7 linked regions of the Oryctolagus cuniculus genome follow. The protein of the gene in region 2 interacts with the protein of the main gene of each other region in a pairwise test. Links are inferred from orthologs where the notes say so. Each region holds a gene or a part of one and is shown on either strand. Other genes may lie near its edges. The genes, in order: CCDC121, NUP62, C7H1orf216, KANSL1, BFSP1, KRT20 and CCHCR1.

Region 1 (4,183 bases), on a different chromosome or scaffold from region 2:
AAGTCCAAATATTTTAAAACTTTTTTGATAGGTTTTCCTGAAACAGGCATTCAATCACTTCTTTAATGCTAAAAGTGTTTCTTCAAAGAACATTTCACAAAAAAGAGGCAACTTAATAAATGTCACCATTCAAATCCTCTTACCCCCTTAATGTATTCAAAGCTGAAATTTTTGTAGGGGTTCATCATCAGATTTCAAAGGTCATTCAACCTAGCACTTAGTGGGCTTGCTGTTATCAGAGTACTTTTTCAACTGGCGAGGAATCTGTAAAAGAAGCTACCCACCCACTGGCCTACACTTAAAAAAGAACTTAGAAACACTTCATCCTTGTCTGCTGATTTGGCCAAAAGGAATACAAGTAAACTGATCCGTGTTATTTATACAGCAGAAAGCTCTATTCAGTGAAATGCTGTCCTTAAAGGTATTTTCTCTATAAAGAAATCTTAACTTGGCTAGATGAAATCACACACCCCAAGTGGGTGTTTCTGAACTTGCTGGATGTATGGGGTGTTTCGGAGATGGTGAAACAGGTTGGGCTATCAGGTATTAGGTTAACTGGAAGTCTGAAAATTGTGTTTATCAACATAAGGTAGTTTTTTAAAATACTGCTTAAAGGAAGCCGGTCACCTTACATGACTGCACCTAGTCTTTTGTACCAACACGTATGGTATTTTACTACAATCTGGAATTCAAAAGCCTTTCCTAACAGGTTTGCTGGGTACGTATTTGAGGAACTACGGGGGGTTTATCGTTGATGCGGCGCCCAGGGGAGGCCTCGGTGGTGCCTGGGGGACACCCTGTCCTTTAGGGCACCCATGGCGTCTTTCTTGCAGCCGTTGCCTCCCACGGAGCATGCTCTGCACAAGCCACTGTTCCTGCTCCAGCTGCTGCTTCTGGCTCCTTAACTGGCTTTGAGTAGCCTCTAATTTCTGGGATTGCCGCATTAGCTGCCAGCATTCCTTGCGTAGCCGCTGGTTCTCTGCCTGGATGCCGTGGCAGAACTTCACCTCAGCCTGCTTTGCTGCCGACCTCAGGGCCTGCGTCTTCTCCCTGAGCGCCCTCCTTTCTTGCTTTCCCAAGTGCCTCACGTCTGGCTCATTCAGCTGCTCCTCCAGCAGGGCCTTTTCCTTGAGGAACTGGGCGTGTTTCTCGGCGGCGATCTGCGCTTCGATCTTGTTTTTCTCCTCCTGTAATTTCTGGATTTGTATGTCCTGTTTCTCCTTTAACAGCGAAATGTCTCTCAGATCCTGCAGCTGCTGCTTCAAATCGGCTTGTATCTTTTTCTTCTGCATGAGCTCTGCTTTAAGCACTGCAGACTTCTTGGCATATCTGGCGGCTAACTTCTGTCTCCCCCTTTTAATCTCTCGACTTTCCTGTATGTACTCCGTCCACAGCTTCACGGGCTCCTTCGCCAGCTCTTCCGTTTTCTTGGTCAGGTACTCCAGAAAGAACCTGTTTTCCGCCTGGAAGTGTAGCTCCTCCTCGTGCAGCTGCCTGGTGTCCTCCAGTAACAGCTGCTGCTGGGCTCGGGCTGCTTTAATCTGCGTGTCCAGCTCTCGCACCTTCGCCATTCTTCTTCTGATGCGCATCTCCGCACTTGTTAGCTTCTGGGGCTGGAGCAGATTATTTATTAGACTGAGGTACGACGGAGGGGAACTCCTGGGACCTTCGGCAAACCTGAAGGGAGAGCCCATGAGACGTGCCTCTGTCAGTTCTTAATGCAAATTTAAGCAATCATAAAAGATGCACAATTGTCCTTAATTAATACAGCGACTATTTACTTATTTGAAAGGCAGATTTCCCATCTGCTGGTTCACTTCCCAAATACCTGCCACAGCTGGGGCTCCATCCGCATCTCCCACGTGGGTGGCAGGGACCCAAGTATCTGGGCCACCAACTGCTGCCTCCCAGGCGCATTGCAGGAAGCTAGACTGGACGTGGAGTTGGAACTTGATCCCAGGCATTCAGATACGGAATGCTGGTGTCCCAAGTGGCAGCTCAACAAGTATTTTGGAGACCTACTACGTTCCAAACACTCTGCAAGCCACGGGAAATACAACCAGGGTTGAAGATGCTGGGGGTACCGCCGACAATTTGCAATAGGCATTCCCTGCAACCCCGCGGCGTAGTGTCCGTTTTAAAGAACAAGAAACCAGACGGCTGACCAGTGGCAGCGCCTGGGTATGAAACCCAGATCGTCGGACGCGGGACGGTGATGGGGAGCGGGGATACTTCTCGGGCTCCTTCATCCTCTTTCCGTGGCCGCACTCACTTGCTCCTGGAATCCAGCTGTTGACAGCGGTAGCTGCGCAGTTCTCGGAGGGTGGTCGCCGAGGAGCGCGCGCTGACGTCGGGGGTCGTGAAGGCGGAAAGGTCTTGCAGCTGCTCAGTCTGCGGCTCGACGGGTCTCCGCGCTGCCCAGCACCCCCAAGCGTCCCATTTAGCCCCCGCCCCGGTCAGCCCAGCCCTGAGCTGTTTAATCTCCTCGGGTGCCAAACAAGCTCTAGCAGGCGGCAGACCAGCGTCTTCGGTCCTAGCTCTTTGGGACCCCAAAATGAGACGTACGCCCCTCTTTTTCGTGTGGTGGGGGTTCGGCCCTTGGGAGCCCATCTCGTCTCCCGCTCCGAGGAGCCAGCGACGGGCAGTGCTCCTTTTTCGGCTCCGCTAGCCCTCTCCTCTCGCTTCTCTGCTCCCCTCACTTCTCTCCCGGCGTCACTAGCCCGCCCGCAGCAGAAACTCGGCACCCGCTGGCCGGCGCCTCTCGGCGGCGTTCGACTCTATTCTCCGCCCAATCTAGAACGTCGCGGAGGCCTCTCTAGCCACGCCGCGCCTCTGTGGTGAGGGGCGGGGCCTGAGCAAAGATGGCGGCGCTCGCGGCTGCGGCGGAGCCCCAGGCGTCCGGGGGTCCTCGGCCCCCCGTGTGCCTCTTGGTGTTGGGGATGGCGGGATCCGGGAAAACCACCTTTGTCCAGGTGACGCACACTGCGCGGGCGGGGTAGGGCAGCGCGAGAGGTGGTGGCGGGCAGAAGGCCAGGGAGAAAGCGACGGAAGTCCGTGGGGAGTTGGAGGACACCGGCGCGTGGTTTTCAGGGACTTCACCGAACTCCGGCTGCTTCGTGGGCTGAGGCATAGCGGACCCGCGCCTGTGTTCATTGAAGCCCTCTTCTGTGCACACTTGGTTCGACTTACCACGTTGTGTTGGAACTGTTTGCTGGGGAAGTTGCCAGCCTCTCGAAGGCAGACTCACAAGGCATGGAGTAGATAGATTCGGTGTTAACCCATTGGGTTTCGGTGAAGATTTGCGAAAAAAGTTATTTCTGGGGCCCCTCTCATGTTCCAGGCATGGGGGATACGGAGAAAATGCGGTTGACAAGGTTTTTACTTTCATGGAGGAGATAGAAAGATACTCGCCATATGGGTTTGCAATACAAGTTAATAAGTGGGCAAGAGTAGGGGAGGCTCTGTCAGGTGAGTGATAAGGAAAAGTAGCGTTTGAGCCGAGATTTGATGTTGGAAGCAGGGTGGATATTTCGGGTGGCTGGAGGGCGGTGGGTGAAGGAGTGGAAATGCCCTTCCTGATCACCCCCTCCTCCTCTCCCTCCCCCTCCCATCTTCCTGTCTGCAGCGGCTCACTGGGCACTTGCACAGCCAAGGTTCCCCGCCCTATGTGATCAATCTGGACCCGGCTGTGCACGAAGTCCCCTTTCCTGCCAACATTGGTGAGTACACTGTGCCCTAACGCAGAGAGGGGAACGCCTCCAGCCTGCCAGTCTTCAGGGACTTTTTTTATTTTCTGAACTTCGTACTTTTATCTCTCTTGGATGTTCTTCAGTCCCTAAACAGGCTTCTTTATAAAACATTCTCCTTTTTAAACACTGGCCTTTATCTAACGCCCAGGCTAAAGCTAGGAGCCAGGAACTCCATGCTGGCCTCCCATGTGGTGGCGGGGACCTAAGTGCTTGAGCCATCATCTGCTACCTTTTAGGTTGCTCATTAGCAGGAAACTGGATTGGAGGTAGAGGTGGGACTTGATCCCAGGCCCTTCCATATGGGGGGTACTTCCATATGTAGCACAGTCCCTTACCTGCTGCCCCACAGTGCCTGTGTCCCCCACCCCCAAGCTTTTTATACCCCAAATACAATAAAAGACCACATATTAAGAGGCAGAGATCATGGGGCTGGT
Region 2 (3,500 bases):
GCCCCCACAGGCGGGTTCACCTTTGGTACCGCAAAGACAGCAACCAGCACCACGCCGGCGACGGGGTTCTCTTTCTCTACGTCTAGCTCTGGCGGGTTTAATTTTGGGACTCCCTCCCCTGCGGCCGCGAGCACCCCTTCCACCGGGCTGTTCTCTCTCACGACCCAAGCGCCAGCAGCCCAGACCCCGGCGTTCAGTTTTGGCACCACGACTCCCGCTTCCGGAGGCACCGGCTTCTCCCTAGGTCTCAACGCCCCGAAGCTGAACTTGGGCAGCACGGCGGCCACCTCAGCCACAGCAAACCCCAGTGGCTTTGGGCTCGGCAGCAGCACCCTCACCAGTGCCACGTCGGGCACCGTCACCTCCAGCCAGGGCACAGCTCCCACCGGCTTTGTGTTCGGCTCTACCACCACGCCTGCGGCCCCCGCCACCACATCCGGAGGGTTCTCCTTCACCGGGGGAAGCTCCTCGCAGACGGGGACGTCTGGCTTCAACATCGGCTCCGTGGGGAGTTCGGCCACCCAGCCCACGGCGCTGACCGGGTCTCCCTTCACCGCAGCCACGCCAGCGGCCACGGGGGCAGGGCCCAGCCAGCCGGCCGCGCCCACGCCCGCCGCCACCTCCAACGCTGGGCCCACCCTCTTTGCCTCCATAGCCGCGGCTCCCACCTCATCCACCGGCACGGGGCTCTCCCTCGGTGCCCCAGCGACCACCGCCGCGGCGCCCGCGCCTGGGACGCTGGGCTTCACCTTGAAGGCCCCTGGAGCAGCTGCCGGCACCTCCACGGTGACGTCCGCTGCTGCCACCACCACCACCACCACCACCACCAGCTTCGCCTTGAATCTAAAACCTCTGGCGCCGGCCGGGGTCCCCAGCAACACGACGGCCGCCGCGAGTGCTCCAGCGGCCCCCAGCGCAGCCACCGGGGCGGCCGGCAGCCCCGCGATGACCTACGCGCAGCTGGAGAGCCTCATCAACAAGTGGAGCCTGGAGCTGGAGGACCAGGAGCGGCACTTCCTGCAGCAGGCCACCCAGGTGAACGCCTGGGACCGCACGCTCGTCGAGAACGGCGAGCGCATCACCAGCCTGCACCGCCAGGTGGAGAAGGTGAAGCTGGACCAGAAGCGGCTGGACCAGGAGCTCGACTTCATCCTGTCGCAGCAGAAGGAGCTGGAGGACCTGCTGAGCCCGCTGGAGGGCTGGGTGAAGGAGCAGAGCGGGGCCGTGTGCCTGCAGCACGCCGACGAGGAGCGCGAGAAGACCTACAAGCTGGCCGAGAACATCGACGCGCAGCTCAAGCGCATGGCCCAGGACCTCAAGGACATCATCGAGCACCTGAACACGTCCGGGGGCCCCGCCGACACCAGCGACCCCCTGCAGCAGATCTGCAAGATCCTCAACGCGCACATGGACTCGCTGCAGTGGATCGACCAGAACTCGGCGCTGCTGCAGCGGAAGGTGGAGGAGGTGACCAAGGTGTGCGAGGGGCGGCGCAAGGAGCAGGAGCGCAGCTTCCGCATCACCTTCGACTGACGGCCGGGCCGGGGCCGCGGCGCTCCCTGGTGGCCGGGGGGGCCGATTCTCTGAAGCGATTGTGCTGTGGAGAGAAGTGTTCTGTGGTTTGACTTTGCCCGCCAGCGAATGCGTAGAAAGTGTCCCGAGCGCCGCTGGGCGGGCGGGCAGCAGCCGGTGGGCGGCTCTGTGTCTGAGTCCTGTGTCTTTGGCCCCTTTCACCCACTGCCACCCACCTCGCCCTCCCCCGACAGAGGCGCTGAGGCCGGAGAGGAGAGGCTGCCGCCGGCCGCTCTGCCCAGCACAGTGGAAGTGCTGAGGTGGGCAGGCTGCCCTCTGCCCCGTGTGGGGTTTAAGCCGTGCGCTCCGCCCAGACACACTGCTCCCCGCAAGGAGGGGCTGCTCAGCTGAGGCGAGGCCCAAGCCCGGGGGGCTTCCCTGTGCCCGCTCCCCGTCCAGGTGGGCCCTCGGGCCTCCCCTCTTCCAGGGCGCCGCCCCGGCCGGCCCCATGGCACACTGAGCCTGTGCCAGGGAGGACTGGCTGTGCGTCTTGTGCCGACTGTTGGCCCCCGTCTCACTGGTAGACTGAGCTCCCGGGGGCAGGGACTGACTCTGTCCCCCTTTGTCCCCAGCACAGTCCCAGTCAGCTTTGCTGAATGAGCAAAGGACGAAGATGAAACCTGGCGTAGCGCTGGTCCACCGTGTTGCCTGCTGCGGTGGCCGCGGTGGCCACGCAGGGGCCCTGAGCCCCGCCAAGGTCCCCGTGTCGCCGCCCAGTGTCCTGTGTGTGTGCTTTGCATTCTCTACGATAGCCACGCTGTGTGTCGCCTTCCTGAATAAAAACATGAACAGCTGCCGTGCCTGTGTAACGTCAGGGTGAGGCGGTCGAGAGCGAGCAGCTCCCAGAAGCCACCGTGCTGGCGCCCTCCGGCCGACAGGCGCGAACAGTCTTGGGTCTGTGCTGACCTGTGGGTGACGCGGGCGCTGGCACCGCACTGCCTGCCCTCGCCCCGGTGGAGCAGCCTCCGTTCCTCCGCTGGGGCTAGCTGGAGGGCTCGGGCGGAGAGGCGACTCCCAGGTGCGGCCCGGCCAGCTGCTGGGAGCTCTCCCTCCTCCTGGGGACGGGGGTCCCGGCCCCTTGGCCTCACCCGCTCCATGGCTCACACCTCGGAGCCCTGTGGCCCATTTTCTAGAAGCTTCCCAAGGTCAAGATCACAAGTCATTGTTTACGTTGAACCATCTGGGGCCTTGAAGGCCAACACAACTTTGCAGGCAGCAGCCACAGAACAGGGAGGAGGAAGACCCCGCCAGCCTCCGTGAGCGCTGCTGCCCTCTCCCGGCCTTGACCACGGGGAGGGCCCGCGCTCCTGCCCTAGAAAAGTGGTCTGTTTCCTGCCTGCGTTTTTTCATTCGACATCCGTGGAGCAATGTTACTGAGCCCGCGAGCTCAGATTGTCCCTGTCAAAGGCCACACAATCTTCCTAGGGGGAAAAAAATGGGCATTTAAAAAATATATGCATTTGAAAGAGTGACAGAGGGAGAGGTTCCCCCCCCCACCTGGGTGGCAGGGACCCCAACACTTGGGCCACCATCTGCTGCCACCCCAGCTGCCTTCCCACTGAGCAGAGAGCAGTGCCATGGGTACCGGATGCCGGCGGCACGGGCAGCGGCTGGCACCTGTGCCACGACGCCATCCCAAGCGTGCTTCCCTGGTGTGCGTGTGTATATACTCCCGTTTCACATATTAAACATGAGTAAAACTCAGTTGCTTTCCTTTATTTTATTTTTAAAGATTTTATTTATTTTATTTGAGAAATAGAGCCACAGACAGTGAGAGGGACAGAGAGAAAGGTCTTCCCTCCACCAGTTCACTCCAAATGGCCAGAACTGCGCCGATCCAAAGCCAGGAGCCAGGTGCTCTCTGCCGGTCTCCTACACAGGTGCAGGGCCCAAGGCCTGCTCTCCCAGGCCACAGCAGAGAGCTGGAT
Region 3 (4,054 bases), on a different chromosome or scaffold from region 2:
ACTACAAGGAGGAAGGGAGTGACAGGGATCAGGGTCAGTGAGTGGAACTCTGACAAGCTACTCCAGCTTGGGACCGAGGACTTTCTTATCCAGTTACATCTGTGCACATGGGCAACTGCACAGGAACCCACTGTGCAGGCGCCACGGAGGGCGTCTGTGCCTAGCAGGAATTCTCTGCAACCTGAGCTCTGTCCCAGGGGACTCTTTCTATTTTTTTTTTAAAGATTTATTTATTTATTTGAAAGTTAGAGTTACACAGAGAGAGAAGGAGAGGCAGAGAGAGAGAGAGAGTGTGTGTGTGTCTTTCATTCCTGCTTCATTCCCCAAGTTGCTGCAATGGCCAGAGCTGCACAGATCTGAAGCCAGGAGCCAGGAGCTTCCTCCGGGTCTCCCACGTGGGTACAGGGGCCCAGGACTTGGGCTATCTTCTACTGCTTTCCCAGGTCATAGCAGAGAGCTAGATCAGAAGTGGAGCAGCGGAGACTCGAACCAACACCTATATGGGATGCCGGCATTGCAGGCGGTGGCTTTACCCAATACGCCACAGCATATTAAAAAAAAAAAAAAAAAAAAAAAAAAAAAGTAGCCTTCAGTCTGGCTTTGTGGCGCAGTGGGGTAAGCCCAGGCCTGCAATGCCAAGATCCATAGGAAGGCTGGCGGAGTCCCTGCTGCTCCACTTCAAATCAGGCTCCCTGCTAATGTACCTGGGAAAGCAGCAAAGGACGTCCCAAGGGCTTGGACCCCTGCCACTCAAGTGGCAGACCCAAATAGAGTTTCAGGCTCCTGGCTCCACCATTGTGGCCACGGCCATTTGGGGGCTGGATCTCTTCTCTCCCTCTCTGGAACTCTGCCTTTCAAATACATAAATAATTTTTTATATGGGGCGTGCACTTTTTAAATTTTTTTTTAATTTATTTGACAGAATGATAGTGAGAGACAGAAAGGTCTTCCTTCCGTTGGTTCACTCCCCAAATGGCCGCTGAGGCCCCTAAATAATTTTTTAAAGTAGCTTTCATTAATGATGAATCAGATGTGCACACAATTAATATAAAATTCCAGATTTTGATCAAAGGAACATAAGTGCTCTGAGATGATACAAAGCGGGGGACCAGTCTTGTCTCGGGGATCACAGAAGGTTTCTCAGATCTGAAATGTGGGGAAGCCTAGCCAGGAGACAACATTTCAGGCAGAGGCTGCGGTGCGTGCCACAGCCTCGAGGAAGGAGGGGCCCAGCGAGCGCCGTTAGGCGACAGCCAGACCTGGAAGGCCTGGCCTTGAGCAGCCGGCGCGGGGGAGGCGGCTGCGGCGCAGGGGCCCCGCGCAAGGCTCCCACGCAGAACCGAACCGGCCCACGTGGGCCGCCCCAACCCCGCCCCGCCGCGCAGACGCCGCCAGCAGCCGCAGTCCGGGCCCGGGCCGCGGGAAAGCCCGGGCGAGACACCCCCAGGCCGAGCGGGGCGCGCCGGAACCAGAGCCAGCTGCGCCGGAGCGGGCGCCTCCAGGCCGTGAGTCCGGGCCGAGGGGGAGGACTGGGGGCCCCGCCGCGGGGGCCGGGGGCTGGGGGCTGCAGCCCGCGCCCAGCGGCCCCTCCGCGGAGCTCTGCGGGGACGGCCTCTGCCCTATTCCCCGGGGGACGTCTCCGGCAGCGCCAGGAAGGAAGGGCGGCCGCCGCTGCTCCCGGCCCTGGCAAATTGCGGATTAACTGGGGGTGGGGCCGGGGTCTGATCCCCATTTTACTATCGCTGAGAACCCAGGATCCTCAGCGCCACCACCAGCCCATTCCAGCCTGCTTAGGAAAAAGACTCGGGGGAGGCTCCAGGCACCTAAGTGCACACTTTGGTGGGAGGCCTGGGGGTCCGCAGGTCACCGCGGGAATCGTTCCCACTGGATCCTTCCAGGCCTTCTGCCCTCTCCCAACTGTGGGAAGAGCCTGTGCCACCTTAGGGGTCCCCCTGGGGCCTGCTGCCCTTACCTTGTACCCCTTAGTGACCCTCCGGTTTCCCTGTCCTGGGAGTAAGTGTGTGGTCGTGGTCGGGAGAAACCTCTTCTCAGTTCAGACCGGGATTTTGGTGGAAGCCCTGCTAGGAAGAGGGATGCCCTTTGCACTCCCTCCTGGAACTCCGGATGGGGCAAACTAGGGCCAGGATGCAGGTGGTGGGGGAAGAGGGATGGCGCATCGGGCGTGGCACCTCAGTGCTTGCTCCAGGAGCGTGATGGGGGGAGCTGGAGGAAGGCATGAGGAACTGTGTTTACATTTATTAAGGGCGGGGCAGATGGAGGGGGGATTCTCAGGCAGGCCTCAGAGCATTTGCCGGGTGGAGAGGGAGGAGCTTAGAGGGGAAGGGAGAGGCAGGCACTGCAGGCCAGAGCCATAGTGGAGCGCAACAATAGTGGATCTTGAGCTCCTGGAGCAGTCGGATGTGATGGGAGGCAGGGTGCGGGTGCTCAGGGCCATTAGGCCATGTAGATCTTTAAGAGGAGTTCAGGAACAGTACTCACTCAATTTTTAAATTTGCATTTTAAAATTCATTTATTTATGGGGCTGGCATTGTGGCATAGCGGGTAAAGCCACCGCCTGCAGTGCCAGCATCCCATATGGGCGCTGGTTTGAGACCCGGCTGCTCCACTTCCAATCCAGCTCTCTGCTGTGGCCTGGGAAAGCAGTGGAAGATGGCCCAAGGCCTTGGGCCCCTGCACCCTCATGGGTGACCTGGAAGAAGCTCCTGGCTCCTGGCTTCAGATTGCCACAGCTCCGGCCATTGCAGCCATCTGGGGAGTGAACCAGCGGATGGAAGGTGTCTCTCTCTCTCTCTCTCTCTAACTCTGCCTTTCAAATAATTAAATAAATCTTTTTTAAAAAATTCATTTATTTATTTGAAAGGCAGTGACATGGCCGGCGCCGCGGCTCACTAGGCTAATCCTCTGCCTGCGGTGCCGGCACACCGGGTTCTAGTCCCGGTCGGGGCGCCGGATTCTGTCCCGGTTGCCCCTCTTCCAGGCCAGCTCTCTGCTGTGGCCAGGGAGTGCAGTGGAGGATGGCCCAGGTGCTTGGGCCCTGCACCCCATGGAAGACCAGGAGAAGCACCTGGCTCCTGCCATCAGATCAGTGCGGTGCGCCGGCCGTGGCGGCCATTGGAGGGTGAACCAACGGCAAAAGGAAGACCTTTCTCTCTGTCTCTCTCTCTCACTGTCCACTCTGCCTGTCCAAAAAAAAAAAAAAAAAAAAAAGTCAGTGACAGAGAGAAGAGAGAAATACCAATCTTCTGTCTACTAGTTCACTCTCCAAATGGCTGCAACAGCCAGGGCTGGGCCAAGCTGAAGCCTGGAGCCAGGAACTCCATCCTGGTCCCTATGTGAGTGGTAGGGGCCCAAGTACTTGGGCCATCTTCCACGGCCTTCCCAGATGCATTAACAGGAAACTGGATTGGAAGTAGAGCAGCTGGGACTTGAACCAGCTTTCTGATATGGGATGCCAGCATTGCCACAACAGCTTCACCTGCTGTGCAACCACGTTGAGCCCCCAAATTTACATGTTTAGCCACAGGAAGAGAGATTAGTGAAAAGGCTGTGGCACTAGTCCAGGTAAAAAATGGCCTGAGCCAAACGAAATTGAAGAGGAAGAATTGTCTGAATTTGGTGATTGATAAGAGATGAGGGACGGAAGGAAAATGCTTATTCCAGGATGCTTCCGGGCTCTGGCTGGGGTGGCTGAACAGGGAGCAGAGCCGTCTTGCTGAGGACACGAAGATGGGAGCTGGCTGGGACTGGGAGATTTCCAGGGGCCTGTGGGTGGCTGCAGGGCTGGGTAACAGTTGGATCTGGGCTGGAGACAGATTGGAGAGTTACCAGCATATGATGATTCCCAAAGCTGCAGCCCACAGCCGGGTCATCTGGGGAGAAGCGTGTAGAACGAAAAGGCAGCCTGCCTCGGAGCGCTGAAAAACACGCTGTGCAGGCTACTGCAAAGGAGCAGTGAGGGAGGTGGGGACCAGCAGGGGCAGTGCGAGCCCAGCCAAGGGGAGGGGATGACAAGGAGCTGCCAGGCGTGTGCCTG
Region 4 (4,113 bases), on a different chromosome or scaffold from region 2:
GAGTGTCCCTGTATTGATTCTCAAAACCTACGAGGCTCTTAAAGTTTTATTATTTTTATTTTTTAATTAATTTATTTTTATAGACTTTTAAAAAAAAGAGAGGTAGAGACACGGGGGTGGTGGGGAGAGGTATTCCATCTGTTGGTTTACTCTCCAGATGCGAAGGACTTGGGCCATCCTCTGCTGCTTTCTCAGGCCATGGCAGAGAGCTGGATTGGAAGTGGAGCAGCCAGGACTTGAACCAGTGACCACAGGGGACTTCAGGCCAGGGCTTTAACCTGCTGCACCACAGCACCAGCCCCAATTATTTCTGTTTTCCCAGAAACGCTTCTTCCCTTAACTTTCATGTGTCATCAATATTTTGTTTCTCTTATTTCACCTTCGTTCTCACCCTCCTGACTTTAACTGTGGTGTCTTTTTACATGTGTGGGGGAGACTCTGGGCATTATCATGTGGTGAGCAGAGAGCTCTAAATCTTTTCTAAGCCAGATTGCCCATGCTCTCTCAAAGTTTGTAACTTTAGTTGTCTCTGGGACACCTTCACTCACTTAACCCCTGGTATTTGGAATGGAACATATTGAAACCCAAGGTTCCTCCCCAAATCTGTACGCTGTCCCCATTTCCAGGTTTTGCAACCTCAACCTCAGATTATCTAAAAATTTAAATCAATTAAAAATTTTTTTTTCAGAATTAGGATGTTCATGAATGATTTTAAAAGTAGCAAAGGATACAAAGGCCATACAGTGAGCTGGAAGCCTTTCTCCCACCTGCTCACTGGAGCTGCCCTCCGGGAAGTAACCACCGTGGCCAGCCTGGAGTGATTTTTGATCCCTTCTTCCATCGGTTTTATCTGAAGTCCTCCCCTGTTTGTAAAAGATGTGTCCCTCTCCAGGCCCTTGGAGCCGTATACGTGACTGGCTTTACATATAAACATTTATATGTGCGAATTCGAGATTCATATATAAAATCTCTCCCTATGGCCTTCCGGCCTCGAGTTTTCATCACGTCGCTTCCTGGATGAAGAACCCAGAGGGGTGAGGGGCAGGGGCTGGGGGTGATGGAGAGGAGAACCTCAAGGGGACTCAGGGGGTTCAGAGTGGCCTACTGGTGAGAAGCACCGCTGGGATTCCCGATTCCCAGTCCTCCCACCTCAGGGCCCCTTTCCAGAGCTCCTGTCCAAAAGCCTCTCGTTTCCAAGGGCCCTGACAGAGACAGAGACAGCGAGATAACACAGAGACAGAGACGCCGAAGCACCAGCATCCCTCTCCCCTCTCTGTCCCGCCCCATCGCTCTGATGGACACCCTCTCTCGACCAATGGCGCCCACGAGGAGCCCCGGAAGGCCCAATGAGAGACAGAGGAGGGCGGAAGATTCCCCGCCCCCACTCTAGGCTTGGTTGAGCCGTGCAGGTAGGTCCGGGGCTGGGGGAGCTGCCGTTGGCACTGGTGCCCCGGGGGGTGGGGGGCACGAGTGGGTAGGGGTGATGGTGGGGGAGGGAAGGCGGCTACGACCCGGGGGCTTTGAGGGGGCGGCCCGGCCGGGAGGCGAAGGGTCGAGGGGCCCGCGGAACGGGCTCCGCCGAGGGCCCTGGAATCGGCTGGGCTGGGGGAGCGGGGACTCGTGTGTGGGGCACAGGGACCCCCACCCCGCGCCCACCGGTAGGCCTGGACCGCGGGCTGCTGGCCGAGCTGCCGGAGGGCCTGGCGGCCCGGGGGGTGGGCCGGGCCGGGGGCAGCGAGGGAGCCCAGGGCGCCAGGCCGAGCCGAGGTGGGACGGACCGACGCGGAGAGGAAGGGAAGCTGCATCCCGCGGGCCGCCCCCTCCCGGAGCGAGCCGGGGCCACGGCCGCGGGCGCCCCTGCCCGGAGCCCCCTCGCCCATCCGCCCCTCCCCAACAATGGGGGTCAGGCCGGAGGGGTCGCCCGGCTGCGGGAAGGTGCGGAGGGTAGGTTCGGGACTGGGGTCCGCGGTGGGGGAGGGGTGAGAACTCGGGCTCTCCCCTTTCTCCTCTCCCGCCGCCCGGGAGGGGGGTTCGCAGAGGGGTCCGGACCCCGCCCGAGACTTGGGTCCAGAGTCGAACTCCTCGCACCCCGCCCCCACCGGCACCCCCAGATCCGGTGAGCGGGGCGGAGAGTGATGCCAAGTCCTCGAAGCCGAAGTGCAGAGGCATAGCCGGAACAGACCCGCTCCGGAGGGTTTGCCTTTTTGTTTTTATTTTTGAAATGAGGATACTTTAGTCTTTGATTTTTCCTTATTTTTTTTTTTTAAGAGGTGAGTGCTGTTATTTTTGTCCCTACTCGGGCAAGCCTCCATTTTAAGCGAAGCAGTAACTGGTTAAGCTGGAATTTCATTCAGGCCTAGGACTTGAACTGTAGGATCCTACAAGAGGTCATTTAGTCCATCCTCCTGTCTCCAGGCAGATTTGCCACCTCTCATCCTAGAATGAAGTTGTAAGGGTTTCCTTTAAAGATCTCCTGGGAAGAAGTGCCTTATTTGTTTGTAGTACTTTGGTCAATAGATTTTATTTATTATGTAGAATCAGCTCTGAAACTTAATTTAAGCTCAGAATTTTAGGTCAGAATCATCAAGAGGAGTTTTAATTTACTATATAAAATTAAATATGGTAAGGATCCTTTTTTAGGTGGTTAACAAATCACCTTTCCATAATGTGTATGAAGTACTCTTAAAATTTTTTTCCCCTTTCTTGGATTTTGGTTTTCTGATTCTTTGAGAAGCAATTATATATTTTCTAAAATGTCATACCTTTGTCTTTTCAGGTAAAGTATGTTTACATGCAAGTATCTGCCCTTTTCCAAAGAGTACTGTGTTTTGGGATGAATGAAACAAACAAAAAAAATATATGTGTGTGTGTATATATATATATATATATATATATAAAAGTAGCTTAAACTACTTGCATATTCCGTATTATTTTTTAGTCTAACTGAGAGCTCTCTCCTTTAGGTAACTTCTCAAAACAGGAAGTTTTTCTGCCTGCTCCTACCTGGTGACTGAGGGGATCACTGACTCCCTGTTTGCTCATTTCTGAATCTTGTCTGAACTCTTCTGACACTATGAATGCGATTCGGGTGCCTCTTAAGGTAAGATGTGTGTTTCTCTCATCAGCCTCATTTCGTTAGTGTTGTGAAGAGTGGAGAATATCCTGGTTTTTGAAGTTGCTGTTCTTCAGTCCCTTTACCTGTCACTGCTCCCTTTGAAGATTGCTTTGCAGGAGTGATTGGTTACTCCTTACCTTGCGTTGCTACTGTTTGTAATTACTGGTGTTAAAGTATTAATGAAGGTCTCGGATTATCTCCCATTATAATGATGTGTTCATCTTTTTAACTTCAAATTGTGACAACTTATGTAGTTGTAAAATTCTGCTCTAGTCCTAGTGGGATGGGTTCCACCTTCAGGTCCACTTTCAAATAGGTGCTTTAAAGTCATGGGTGCTAGGGTGTGTCCTGCTCTTGCAAATCAGTAGCTGATTCATGTGTTACAAAAGATGTGTCATTAACTGTTTACTCTGAAACTTCATATGGAGTATTAGAACATTCTAAGAGCTACTGGCTTGGGTGTGCAGCTCTTTGGAGAGTCCTCCTGCTTCTCCTACTCTTTTGCGTGAGATTTTACTTTGTTTCTCAACAGGTGGCACTTGGGCCAAGTTTCATCTCACAGGATAAACCTTATTTGGGCAGAGTGGACAGATGTCCTTTAAATGAAGAAGCTCTCATTGATGTGTTGGTTCTCTCTCTCTCTCTTTTTTTTTTTTTTTTAAGATTTATTTATTTATTTGAAGGTCAGAGTTACACAGAGAGAGGAGAGGCAGAGAGAGAGAGAGGTCTTCCATCTGCTGGTTCACTCCCCAGATGACTGCAACGGCCGGAGCTGCACCTATCCGAAGCCAGGAGCCAGGAGCCAGGAGCTTTTTCCGGGTCTCCCACATGGGTGCAGGGGCCCAAGGACCTGGGCTATCTTGTACTGCTTTTCCAGACCATAGCAGAGAGCTGGATCGGAAGAGGAGCAGCTGGGACTAGAACCGGCGCCCATATGGGATGCCGGCATTTCAGGCATAGCACCGGCCCCCGATGTGTTGGTTCTCTTGTGGCTTCTT
Region 5 (3,500 bases), on a different chromosome or scaffold from region 2:
CTTTTGGAATGCTGGCACTGCAGGCAGTGGATTTACCTGCTATTCCACAGCGCCAGCCCCTTCTGACCGCTTTTGAGGCAGGGCTGTGGTAAGGATGATCCCAGAGGGTGTGGATATTAATGCAAGGATGTGGGGTTCAGGTTCTGCATTCTGCTTGGGCTTAAGGATTGCAATGTAATTCACTGCTCATCTCTAACCGGCAGAGGCATAAAGCAAGTGCAAGTTCATGCCCGGGTATAGGGCGGGGTGGGATGGGTTTCCTCACCGTGTGTCTCGGCCCCTAGACGTCGACCCTGGAACAAGCTATCAAAAGTGCCCACGAGTGTTACGACGACGAGATCCAGCTGTACAATGAGCAGATTGAAACCCTGCGCAAGGAGATCGAGGAGACGGAGCGGACCCTGGAGAAGTCGACCTATGACTGCCGGCAGCTGGCGGTCGCACAGCAGACCCTGAAGAACGAGCTGGACCGGTACCATCGGATCATCGAGATGGAAGGCAACAGGTGTGGCCACACAGCTGTGATGAGAGCGTGCACCCCGCTCCCCACCCACAAATCTTTGCTGAGTGCCTACTAAGTGCCAGGCGCTCCCTGACCTCAGGGAGCTCGGATGCTGGGGGCCAGGGAGACAGCGAATGAGTGAGCTCTCTGTGAGCTGTGACAGGTGCCTGGGAGGAAAGGATGGCAGGAAGGAGGGGAGTGGTGGGGATGCTGGGAGTCCGAGTACGGTAGGCAGAGGGCCTTACTGGGAGGGCTGCTTCGTGTCCCCGGGGCTCTGGGCTCCTGAGCGTCCTGGTGGGGAGGTGGGTGACCAGGAGCATTTGCTGAGAGGGCTGCTTCGTGTCCCCGGGGCTCTGGGCTCCTGAGCATCCTGGTGGGGAGGTGGGTGACCAGGAGCATTCTTGAGAACCTGCAGGTGCAGCGCCTCCCATGGAGCCTGGCGTTTGGTGAGTGCTCGGATGCTTGAGGGTTATAGCTGCCGCCATCATGATGAGTGTCACCTGCTTGGTCAGAAGTGTGGCTGTGCCTGTGCCGTCTGGTCTCCTCCCTGATCGAGCTGTGACTGGAACCCCACTCACTGCAACACAGCTGGGACATCTATCTCCATCTCCCTCAGCTCTCTCTCAATCTGTCTGTATCTCTCTCTCTCTCTCTGTCTCCACATCTGCATCAACAGCATCTCTGTTGTCTACACTTACAGCCTCTACGTCTGTATCAACTGTAGCATCTCCATTTGCCCCTATGGCTAAGTGGGTTTTCCTATCTATGGGTACGCAGTGGAGAACAGGTTGGGTATGAAATCAGGATTCTTTTGTTCAGTCTTGCTGGTTTTCTGGGGTCAGACTGAGTTAAAATAGAAGCCCCTCCCCCCCAAAGTGCCCCACAAAGAGAAACTTTTGTTCACTTTGGGGCTACAAAGGCTTGGGCGTGTATCGGGAAAGGCAGTGTTTTCCTTTCCTTTGTCTAGTTATGGGCAGTGCGTCTCGCACGATTCCACGTTGCATTCATGACACAGGGAACGCTTGGTAGGCACCTCTATGAGAATACGTCCTGACCTGGCTCTGAAATAACCGTATGAAAAATTTTGCTTTGGAAGCAGGGCATTGGAAAAAGGTAGCTGGACGCCCCTACCCTTTAAATAATTTTTTTCTTCTTTTTCAAGATTTATTTACGTACTCGAAAGGCAGAGTTCAAACAGAGAGAGGGAGAGACAGAGAGAGGTTTTCCATCTGCTGGTTCACTCCCTAAATGGCCTCAATGGCCAGAGCTGCACCCATCTGAAGCCAGGAGCCAGGAGCTTCTTCCAGGTCTCCCATGCAGGTTCAGGGGCCCAAGGCCTTGGGCCATCTTCTACTGCTTTCCCAGGCCATAGCAGAGAGCTGGATTGGAAGTGGAGCAGCTGGGACTTGAACCGGCGCCCATATGAGATGCCAGCACTGCAGGCGGCAGCTTTACCTGCTACACCACAGTGCCAGCCCCTGGCCTCTCTTCTTTACACTCTCTCTGGTCTGTAAGTGTATATAGGATTGATTATCTGCTGAAAATTATGTGTGGGAGTAGGCGTTGGCCTAGGGCACCAGAATTACCTGGAGAGCTTGTTAGACCATTCCTGATCCCAACTCCGGGAATCCACTAATACTTTTCTAAAAAAGGAGATGAAGGAAAAGGGGGCGGAAATGGGGGAGAAGGGGGCAGTGTTTGGCCTGGCACTGACACTGGTTAAGATGCCTGCATCCCACGTTGGAGGGCCTGGGTTCAATTCCCACCTCCGGCTCCTGACTCCAGCTTCCTCCAGTGCACACCCTGGGAGGCAGTGGTGATGGCTCAAATACGCAGGTCCCTTTCACCCACCTGGGAGAACTGGATTGAGTTCCTGTGCTCCCAGCTTCAGCCTGGCCCGGCGCGGGCTGCTGTGGGAATTTGGAGCTGAATCAGCAGATGGGAGCTTTGTTTGTCTCTCTGCCTCTCAAATGATAAAAAGATTTTAAAAAGTTGTGTGTAATTCTTGAGCCATTGCATCTGGAGAAAGCTGTGTCCATTTTCACTCAGTGTTGGAGTGTCTGTGTTTGACTCGATGAATTAAGACGGTGCCACACTCTCTGTGTTTCGTACCAGGCTGAGCTCTGCCTTCATTGAAACTCCTATCACCCAGTTCGCAGCGAGCCAGGGACCCCCTCTCAGCCTGGGATCCAGCGGGAAAGGTAATGATACCCATGCTCCCCCCTCCACACCTTCCCTCCACTCCCCTTCTTCTCTCATCCTCTTCCTCCTCTTCATTCTTCTTCCTTGTGTGCAAAAACCAAGTGGTTTTCTTCCTGACCTTGACATTCACACTGCCTTCCAATTCATCTGGAAACTCCATGTTCCTACCTGAGGGAGGTCTCCTCTTCCCCTCCGGGGCATCCTCAGTATTATCCCCTTGGATGCAAACTGGCTGAGCCACAAAGTGTTTTAAGGAGAAAATGAGCTGGGTATTCACGAATGTGAGGCATTAACTTGGGGGAAAGATACAATTCAGGGTTCACTTCTTGTTTCTTCCAAACTATTGAGTTATAGGAAGGGTACTTCAAAATGTTTATGGCAAAATGGAAATAAAAGATAAGTTTATTTTGGTGCAAAAAATTTTGCAATCTATGCATGGTTTTTTCTTTTTTCTTTAAGATTTATTTATTTACTTGAAAGTCAGAGTTACACACACAGAGAGAAGGAGAGGCAGAGAGAGAGAGGGAGAGAGAGAGAGGGAGAGACAGAGGGAGAGAGGTCTTCCATCCGCTGGTCCACTCCCCAGTTGGCCACAACAGCTGGAGCTGTGCCGATCCAAAGCCAGGAGCCAGGAGCTTCCTCCAGGTCTCCCACGCGGGTGCAGGGGCCCATGGACTTGGGCCATCTTCTACTGCTATCCTAGGCCATAGCAGAGAACTGGATCGGAAGAGGAGCAGCCGGGACTAGAACCAGCGCCCATATGGGATGCCGGCACTGCAGGCAGCGGCCTCACCCA
Region 6 (4,046 bases), on a different chromosome or scaffold from region 2:
CTGAGTACTTCCCACACCATCAAAGCGGTAAGATTCTGGAAGCGTAATAAGGAAATTCAGCAAGGATAATATGGGGAGCCGAGTGTCATGAAGCACCACTGAGAGGGACTCTTTTCTGGAAAGTTCCACCATGGCATTCAGGAACCTACTTGAGTCTGAAGTCCTCAGCAGCCAGCTTAGCATTGTCAATTTGCAGGACACGCTGGGAATTTTGTGACTGAGCATCCTTAATCTGGAAAACACACGAGAAAGAAGGATGTTTCCAACTGGATAGGAGTTAAAAATGATGGGATTTATCCTCAGATACAACTACTGTCACAAGTTTAGTAAAAATGATGTTCAGGTCAAGAATTTCATGTGAAAATATTGACAGGAAGAATGATAACGTGGGTACTTAGTGTACCTGAATCAAAATACTACTGCAGTCCCCAGGGTAGGGTCTGCTTTCCTGTGATCTTACAAAGGGAGATCTTCATTCTTGTTGTGTCATCAGATCTGACCGAGGGCTTTGCCTTTGGTGTGGTTCCTGCGTAGAACGCCCCCGTTAGCCCCCATCACCTGGAGAATCCCTGCTTCCCCTCCTTGTCTCAGCTTAGTCAGTGTGGTGTGGAGGCATCTGCTTGTGCCCTTGTTGCCCTACACAGCCCTTCTTGCCAGTGCTTAATCCTCTGTGTAGTTGCTTCGTCCATGCCTGTTTCCTCCTAAGTCACATTTTGTTCACCACAAGTTCCCTAGCACCAGGTTAGTGTTGACTAAGTTTTGGCTCAATGAAGGAATGAATGTTTGTTATATGATGAGGCACTGGGGATATCAGGGCAGGTAAGCCCTGGACTAAAAACTTTACAATTTACTTATTTGAGAAGGAGGGATGCAGGGAGGGATGCAGAGAGAGACAGAGAGACAGACACACACACACACACACACACACACACACACAGAGAGAGAGAGAGAGAGAGAGAGAGAATCCCATACACTGGTTCACTCCCCATATGCCTGTGATGGCTGAGGCTGGGAGCCAAGAACTCCATCCGGGTGACCCATGAAGGTGGAAGGAACCCAATTACTTGAACTATCATCTGGTGCCTGCCAAGGTCTCTGCATTAGGAGGAAGGTGGAGTCAGAAGCCAGGGTCAAAGTCAAGTCCAGGTACTCCAGTATGGGATATGGACATTCTAACCACTGGGCCAAACGCCAGTCCTGCATCTTTAGAAGTGTTTAATGAAGTGACTTCTGTCAGACGCAAGTGAATCAGAAGAGGTTCCAGCTACGGGCCTCTTTCTGTGACTGCGGTCCTGCAAAGGGCCTTCCCATGCTGGGTCTGCCCACTGTGTGGAACCGATAGCTGTGCCTGTGCCTCTGAGGTGACCCGGGGTAGACTCAGAAGCGTGAGTCAGAGATAGGTACGGGAGATTGACTGGTTTGTGGTGAGAGCCTGAGAAGGAAAGCACTGTAAGCCCTGCGACTCTGTGTGCCCCTCGTTCCTGGAATCCCACAATGCCTTCCTGTGGGGTCTGACTCATCACACTGATGGCCACTACAGCCCAAGAGCAGGAGACTCGCTGGGGGCTAACTTTGCTCTAAAGGGTTATGAATCTTAAAATAGAAATGAAAATGAAAGGGGAATTTTCTTGATTAAATAAGAGAATGAAAGTAAAGGAAGTGCTCCGTGTCATATAGGAAATCTTCAGCAGGGAGCAAAGTCTTCTGCTTTTATTTCATGCGCTTGATAAAATGCACAGCTTCCTCTTGGGTGATGTGGGAGCCAGCTGTGATATGATTGCAATAAATTCCAATTGGGGGCCATAGATTATTAATGCAGAAGTACTTTCTGAACTGCTTGGTGATGATGGTCAGATGATTAAACAGAGAATTTTAAAAACCCAAGGACTATTCAGAAGTACACCTTCCCCCTGTCCCTACCCTGAGCACTCTGGTATTTTAATACCTATATTACATCAGTGAAAGAAGAAAAGTCTCTGAGTTGACTGGGGTTTCAAACCTTGATGGGGATGAGGTGAGAAACTGAACAATAATTTATTATCACATATAAATAGCTCTTTTCAGGAAAAAAGTTTACTATCCCTGTAGCTGATACAATAAAGTGTGACAAAGATAGACAATATAAGACTGGAAGAAAAATGCTCCTGTGTTATATGTAATTAGATTAAAACATTTAAAAGCAGTATGGTTTAGAGCGACTCGGGCAGGTAGGTGCCCCAGCACTCAGGGTTGTTCTACAGAGGCAGCGTTCCAGCCGCACCTGCTCTACAGGGTCTGCTTGCTTCCACCTGCCACAGTGCTCTCCAGGCCCCGCACCTCACCTGGTTCTGCAGCTCTTCCATTTGCTTGTAGTATGCACTGAAGTCACGACTGCCGCTGGGTGCATTGGCTTCGTACCACTGCTTGATCAGTGCCTCGAGTTTGGAGTTGGACTGCTCCAGGGACCGTACTTTGTCCAGGTAGCTGGCTAGACGGTCGTTTAGGTTCTGCATGGTCATTTTCTCATTGCCAGCAAACAGATCCCTGCCACCACTGAGATCATTCCCATAGCTCGCCAACTGTCTGGAGGTTGAGATCCGGGTGCCGTGGCCTCCAGCCCCCCCATAAACACTGGGTGCAGCCACAAGGGGCTGCAGGCCCCCCTTCCTGTATATGGAGCTGCTCATGATGAGTGCAGGGCCCTGTGAGGAGGAGCTCAGGCTTCTGTGGAAGCTTCTGCGACTGGAATCCATTGGGGAGACCAGGAGGGCACCGGAGGCTTCAGGAAGGCTGGAGCAGAGTCTGTCTCCCGGCAGGTGCTGAGCTGACCTTTTATGCACTTTACAGCAGACTCCTCCTCTGCTGACTTGTCACCCCAGGACTGACAGTCCACCTTGCCTTGTATGGCGTCCCCCCCCCGCCCCCTTTAAACAGCAGTATGTTTAATTCCACTCCAGAGCTTATCACTAGGAGCATTTCATAGAAGCGTTTCTCAGGGATGATTGCCTTTTTCAAACAGAGCTGACAGAAGGCAGCAGGAAGGTGTGTTCTTGTAGCCCTCGCACCTGCCTTGGCAGGCTCTCCTCCTCCCAGGGCACACATCAAGAATCTTTACAGTCCTCAGGCAGAACTTAGCTATCTGAGCAGGCAGATGAGGGCCCTCACGGTAAGTCACACTGGGGACAGGACAGTAGCTTGTTGTGTGGCGGAGTGTATCAGCCACCAGAACCTCCATTTCACGCCTTTTGGATTTTAGCTTATCCTTGTTTAGAGATTTTATAATACTATTAACATATTCTGTGAAAGCGCCGTATCTTGAACATACCCACAGGAGTGAAACAGACACTTGGAGACTGGTTTAGGGAAGTGAATTAAAGGAACTTTGATGAGTGGTAGACTACATGATTTTGGAGGCTTTGGAGATTTTTTTTTTAAGTTCTAATTTTGGCGACTAGATAATATGTTGGAAATTTTCAGCCAGCATCTGACTTTTGTCCTGTTTCTGAGAAGCATAGAGAGCACAGGCTGTGCACTTGGCCTGGCAGCTGGAGGTGCTGTGTGCCCTGTCTGGACAGACTCTGCTCCATCCATCCTGAACCCAGAGGTGCTTCTAGAATCCCCTGCAGATTTCAGTAGCAGAAGCTTCCGGAGAAACCTGATCTTCCTTGCAGGCCCCCACACTCACAGCACCAGCGGTTCCGTGTAGAGGAAGCGGTGTGGGAGGTGCCTTGGGGCTACACCCAGCTTCCAGGGTTGGGCTGGGGTGGCTGCATGTGTGCCCACCTCCAAACACAGGGCTTCAGTCTCACCTGTGGGGAGCTGGCTGCAGGTGCTCACTCAACACTTGTTGCAGCTTATTCATTTGCTCCCCTTTATGCAAATCCCTGGCTGAAAATCCACCCCTCCCTTGAAGCATTTAAATGGCTTCCTAAGTCAAGTTAATTAGAAAGGATTGGAAAAGTCACAGAAAATATCTCGTTAATTCTTATATCCATAACTTCAGTTGAATTGAGGGCTGTGTATGATTAAAGTAAGCAAACAAGCAAATGAGTACAAAAAATGAAAAA
Region 7 (4,135 bases), on a different chromosome or scaffold from region 2:
CACCACCTGCTGCACTTCAGGAATCCATCGGCTCTTCCATTGCCTGAGCCGGGGCTCGATCTCACTTCTCAGTCTGGTGTGCAGACGTGAGCTGGGCTGTGTGCAGTTTCAACCTGGAGCGCTACTTGGGCAGTGCAAACCCGGAGGAGTGCAGGCAGCTGAGGCAGGCGATGCAAAACTGGCTGCGAAGCAGATGTGCAAGGGAAAAAAAAAAACAGGGAGGACAGGGTGCAAGGGGCAAACTGGAACGCGTCCTCCCGCCACTCAGTGGAGCTGGATCCTCGGGCCGCCAGACATCCCGGGAGCCTCCGACCTGCGCAAGGCAAAGGTCACGTTAGGCAGCTTCTGGGGAAATGCAAATCGGAGGCGTGTGTGGGTGCTGCTACACGAACGGGCTGCCCCGGTGCAATTTGAAGACAAGCTTCTTCCTGTCAGACCTGCTTATCCAAAACAACACCCCCCTCCCCGTTCGCCCGCGCCCTCGCTCTTTTTGGCCAATCCCTCATTCAGAACTAGCTTGAACCCCGGGGCGGGGGGAGTGAATTCACTGTCACCCCCCAACACACACACACATACACGCAAAGAGCAGTGCAAACAGGTCCCTAGGTACTCCCAACAAAGCGGATCTAAACCTCGCTTCCCGGCTTCCTTCGGGTGGGGTAAATCAGAAGAAGGAGCTCCTGGCGAACTCGCGAGCGCTCGCCCTCCCGGCCCCAGCTCCGTTTCGGACCTACCTGCGCGGCGCAGTCTTGGAGCGGGCTCCTCTCCAGGCGACGCCAGCCCGAGCGGCGGCCGCAGGTCCTCTCGGCCTCCTCAGCTGGGCTAAGCGCTCGCACTGCAGTTTGACAGCCAGGAAGCCGGGGCCGGGAGGGGCGCGGTCTCGGCGCGCGGGCAGCGCAGACCCCTCCTTCGGAATTCCCGGGTCCGAACTTCGCGCCCAGAGAGCCCGCCCCCAGGACCGCGCCTGATTGGCTAGTTCTGTGACCCTCTTCCGCTCCATTGGGCGGCGCGCTGGGCGGGTCCCGCGAGCTCCCGCCTTCCGCTTTTTCTGATTAGCTCAGAGGTTTTCCCGGGTCCCCGGAGTGGGGCGGAGCGGCCAAGGCGCGCAGTTGCTTAGACGCAGTAATTGGGCCCAGCTTTAGGCGCCACTGCGCCTGCGTGCACCTTTGCTCCTTTTCCTTCCTGGACAAAACGGAGTTTCAGAGCGGCCCGCCACGCCGCCCGCCTGGCGCAGGCGTAGTCAAGGGCGGAGGCCGGGCGGGGAGCGAGGTGTGGTGGGTGTGACCAAGGGGCGGAGGGGGCGTTCTCGCGCTGAGTAAGGGGCGTTCGGGAAGAGTCGGTTGGGGGCGGGAAGGGGCTGAGACGGGGTGCTGGGGGGTGCAGGGGGTCACAGGGGAAGAAGGGTACAGGGGCTGGGTAAAGGAGCGGATGAGGTGGTCAGGACGGCCTTAGAATTCAGGGTCCTGCAGGGTGTGCAGGGTGAAGGTTGAGGATATCAGGGCACGGAGGAGAGAGAGCAGAAATCAGACTAGGGTGCTGGGAGACGCGAGCAGGCTGCTTGTTAGCTGGGAGATGAGGGTGAGGGTGATGGACCAGAATAATTCCTTCAGGAAAAAAGCAGACTAGAATGCAGGAAGGGAATCCCAGGTGGGGGTGAATTCGGGTGGGAGTGTGTGAGAAAGATCTTGAAGGGCCCACTGTGCTCTAGGACCCTAGAGAGAGCAGGTCCGCAGGGATGGACGCCGAGGGCATGGGCAAGAGGGTAGTTGCAAGAAAGATCTGGCTCTTGTGCGGGGGCATCTAGGCCATCTGGACTCCCAGGCGGTCCTGGGGAGGTGTCCAGCCCTACATGTGGCCACATTCATCAGGGGCCAGGCCTTGGGCCAGCGCTCTGCTGGGAAAGGACCCGGGAGTCATGGCCTGGTGGTGTCTGGGTGGGCTTCCCCAAGGCCTTGCCGAGCCGTGGCGAGAACTCTGGAGGCTGGGCTCGGGGCCTCTGCACGGTGTGCCTCCTTCGTCCTCTCAGGCCAGGAGCAGCAGGGACAGTAGAAACCTCAGGAGAAGGGTAAAGACACTGCCTGAGTCCTAGCAGGATGATCAAAGCCCAAAAGCTCCCCCTTGGCTCGTCCACCTCCTTGAGTTTTCTCCGCCTCCCTCCTGGTTTCTGCCTGAGTTTTGTTTGTTTGTTTGTTTTGTTTTTGTTTTTTAAAGATTTATTTATTTGAAAGAGTACACAGAGGAGAAGCAGAGAGAGAGAGAGAGAGAGAGAGGTCTTCCATCCACTGGTCCACTCCCCAATTGGCCACAATGGCCGGAGCTGCGCCGATCCAAAGCCAGGAGTGAGGAGCTTCCTCCAGGTCTCCCAGGCGGGTGCAGGGACCCAATGACCTGGGCCATCTTCTGCTGCTTTCCCAGGCCATAGCAGAGAGCTGGATTGGAAGTGGAGTACCTAGGACTCGAACCTGTGCTCGTAAGGGATGCCGGCACTGCAGGTGGTGGCTTTACCCGTTAGGCCACAGCGCAGGCCCCCTGCCTGAGTTTTGCATTAGGACAAGCAGGCAGTGGGGTGGGGTCTCATACTTCTTCCACAAGAGTGGGAAGAGGAGCTGAGAGACAGGGGAGCTGGCTGTAATTTAGCATTGTGACTTTGTTATTGTAGGGGCTTTCTCTTTGGAAGGTGACCTGAAAATTGAACTGGAGTGTCCTTGTTTCTCCTCTTGTCCAGGGGAGCATAGAAGGCTGGAGGCAGCACCTAGCGTCTTCAAGTCACATGGAGATGTTTCAGCCCTCAGGTCAGTGGGGCGGCGCAGGCGAGGGGCTGGCGGTCGCCCCCGCTGCCTGGGAAGCTGACTGTGCTCTTGTGGTTCCGCAGGTGTCTCTGGCTTGATCCCCCCCTCCCACTTCCAAGCCCGGCCCCTTTCAACCGTGCCAAGGATGGCTCCCACCTGGGCTTCAGACATTCCCCTCGTCCAGCCCCAGGCCCGTCAGGATGTGTCACAGAGGCGGCTGGACACCCACAGACGCCAAGTGACCCTCTGGGAGCAGGACGTGTCCGGTGACGGGCAGGAGCCGGGGCGGAGAGGCAGGTAGGGGACTGTTGCCACCTTGTTCTCAGACTCGCTTTCTCGTGGCCTTTCTTCACTGAAACAGATTCCATGGCCTGTTACAAACCCTGACTCAGTAACTTGTTCATTTTTACATGAGCAATTATTGGTACCCACATTGCGTAAGTAATAAGACCTGGGGATGGGGCAGAGAAAAATGAAGAGAGATCTGACCTAAACTTTGTCTTTAAAAAATATGTTTATCTATGAGCAAGGCAGAGTTACAGAGAGAGAGGCAGAGACAGATCTTCCATCCACTGATTCACTCCCCTAATGTCTGCAGTACAGCTAGGGCTGGGCCAGGCCGAAGCCAGGAGCCCAAAACTAAATCTGGGTCTCTCACATGGGTGGCAGGGGCCCACGAACTCGGGCCATCTTCCACTGCCTCCCAGATGCATTAGCAGGGAGCTGGATTGAAAGTGGAGCAGCCAGGACTTGAACCAGAGCTCGGTGCTCGCAGCAATGGACATGGTGGCCAGCCTTCTCCCACCCCTAACTTAAACTTGACATTGCTTAGGAATTTAAACTCCTAGAGGAGACAGACTGACCACGCGTAGTTCAGAGCTCGAGGAAGAAGTACTAGAAATAGGCCTGGTGCCGTGGGGTGTGGGTTTATTCTGATGGAGCGGGTACAGAAAGCCTTTTCAGAGGGCAGGCGGTTGAGGGGCTGGCTCGGCCGTCTGTGAAGGTGTCGTCTGCAAATGTCCTTGTTGTCTCCTGTGTGTTTTCCACAGTTGTACCGGTTTCATTCTGCCACTTCTGTCTACCATGAGTGGGAGCACATCAAAGAGGAGTGGGTACGAGGAAGAGGGAGCAGAGACAGACCTGCTGTTTCTGTTTGACTGTCTGCTAGGGGTCTTGTGCACCTCTTAATTTCCCTAGGCTGCTCCAGAGCGCTACTCTCTATTTATTTGACAGGCAGCGTGACAGGGAGGGAGGAAGGGAGGGAGGGGCACCGAACACCTGCTGCTTCACCTCCATAGTGGCCACAGCACTCAGAGGTTGGCCAGGCAGAAGCCAGGAGCCAGGAG

Evidence for each region.
Region 1: the proteins of NUP62 (region 2) and CCDC121 interact in binary tests that used the Homo sapiens proteins (3 or more experiments, as listed by UniProt). The two-hybrid records come from large-scale screens. The link is inferred for Oryctolagus cuniculus from reciprocal best matches to the Homo sapiens genes NUP62 and CCDC121.
Region 3: the proteins of NUP62 (region 2) and C7H1orf216 interact in binary tests that used the Homo sapiens proteins (3 or more experiments, as listed by UniProt). The two-hybrid records come from large-scale screens. The link is inferred for Oryctolagus cuniculus from reciprocal best matches to the Homo sapiens genes NUP62 and C1orf216.
Region 4: the proteins of NUP62 (region 2) and KANSL1 interact in binary tests that used the Homo sapiens proteins (3 or more experiments, as listed by UniProt). The two-hybrid records come from large-scale screens. The link is inferred for Oryctolagus cuniculus from reciprocal best matches to the Homo sapiens genes NUP62 and KANSL1.
Region 5: the proteins of NUP62 (region 2) and BFSP1 interact in binary tests that used the Homo sapiens proteins (3 or more experiments, as listed by UniProt). The two-hybrid records come from large-scale screens. The link is inferred for Oryctolagus cuniculus from reciprocal best matches to the Homo sapiens genes NUP62 and BFSP1.
Region 6: the proteins of NUP62 (region 2) and KRT20 interact in binary tests that used the Homo sapiens proteins (3 or more experiments, as listed by UniProt). The two-hybrid records come from large-scale screens. The link is inferred for Oryctolagus cuniculus from reciprocal best matches to the Homo sapiens genes NUP62 and KRT20.
Region 7: the proteins of NUP62 (region 2) and CCHCR1 interact in binary tests that used the Homo sapiens proteins (3 or more experiments, as listed by UniProt). The link is inferred for Oryctolagus cuniculus from reciprocal best matches to the Homo sapiens genes NUP62 and CCHCR1.

The regions. Positions count from the first base shown.
Region 1 is NC_091433.1:175,378,989-175,383,171, reverse strand, and holds the start of CCDC121 (coiled-coil domain-containing protein 121), read right to left. Parts: upstream 2,801-4,183; 5' UTR 2,611-2,800; coding exon 2,273-2,610; intron 1,678-2,272; coding exon 735-1,677; 3' UTR 1-734. Other genes in the region: GPN1 (GPN-loop GTPase 1), read left to right, coding at 2,862-2,972, 3,626-3,719.
Region 2 is NC_091449.1:7,675,536-7,679,035, forward strand, and holds the end of NUP62 (nuclear pore glycoprotein p62), read left to right. Parts: coding exon 1-1,533; 3' UTR 1,534-3,276; downstream 3,277-3,500. UniProt on the Homo sapiens protein: Essential component of the nuclear pore complex. The N-terminal is probably involved in nucleocytoplasmic transport.
Region 3 is NC_091438.1:136,913,034-136,917,087, forward strand, and holds the start of C7H1orf216 (UPF0500 protein C1orf216 homolog), read left to right. Parts: upstream 1-1,254; 5' UTR 1,255-1,505; intron 1,506-4,054.
Region 4 is NC_091448.1:17,042,002-17,046,114, forward strand, and holds the start of KANSL1 (KAT8 regulatory NSL complex subunit 1), read left to right. Parts: upstream 1-1,313; 5' UTR 1,314-1,409; intron 1,410-2,963; 5' UTR 2,964-3,100; intron 3,101-4,113. UniProt on the Homo sapiens protein: Non-catalytic component of the NSL histone acetyltransferase complex, a multiprotein complex that mediates histone H4 acetylation at 'Lys-5'- and 'Lys-8' (H4K5ac and H4K8ac) at transcription start sites and promotes transcription initiation.
Region 5 is NC_091442.1:42,516,199-42,519,698, reverse strand, and holds part of BFSP1 (filensin), read left to right. Parts: intron 1-284; coding exon 285-505; intron 506-2,617; coding exon 2,618-2,703; intron 2,704-3,500. UniProt on the Homo sapiens protein: Required for the correct formation of lens intermediate filaments as part of a complex composed of BFSP1, BFSP2 and CRYAA. Involved in altering the calcium regulation of MIP water permeability.
Region 6 is NC_091448.1:21,693,988-21,698,033, reverse strand, and holds the start of KRT20 (keratin, type I cytoskeletal 20), read right to left. Parts: upstream 2,801-4,046; 5' UTR 2,733-2,800; coding exon 2,322-2,732; exon of another isoform or gene 233-2,321; coding exon 150-232; exon of another isoform or gene 1-149. UniProt on the Homo sapiens protein: Plays a significant role in maintaining keratin filament organization in intestinal epithelia. When phosphorylated, plays a role in the secretion of mucin in the small intestine.
Region 7 is NC_091436.1:139,335,688-139,339,822, forward strand, and holds the start of CCHCR1 (coiled-coil alpha-helical rod protein 1), read left to right. Parts: upstream 1-1,335; 5' UTR 1,336-1,849; coding exon 1,850-2,065; intron 2,066-2,725; coding exon 2,726-2,792; intron 2,793-2,872; coding exon 2,873-3,086; intron 3,087-4,135. UniProt on the Homo sapiens protein: May be a regulator of keratinocyte proliferation or differentiation.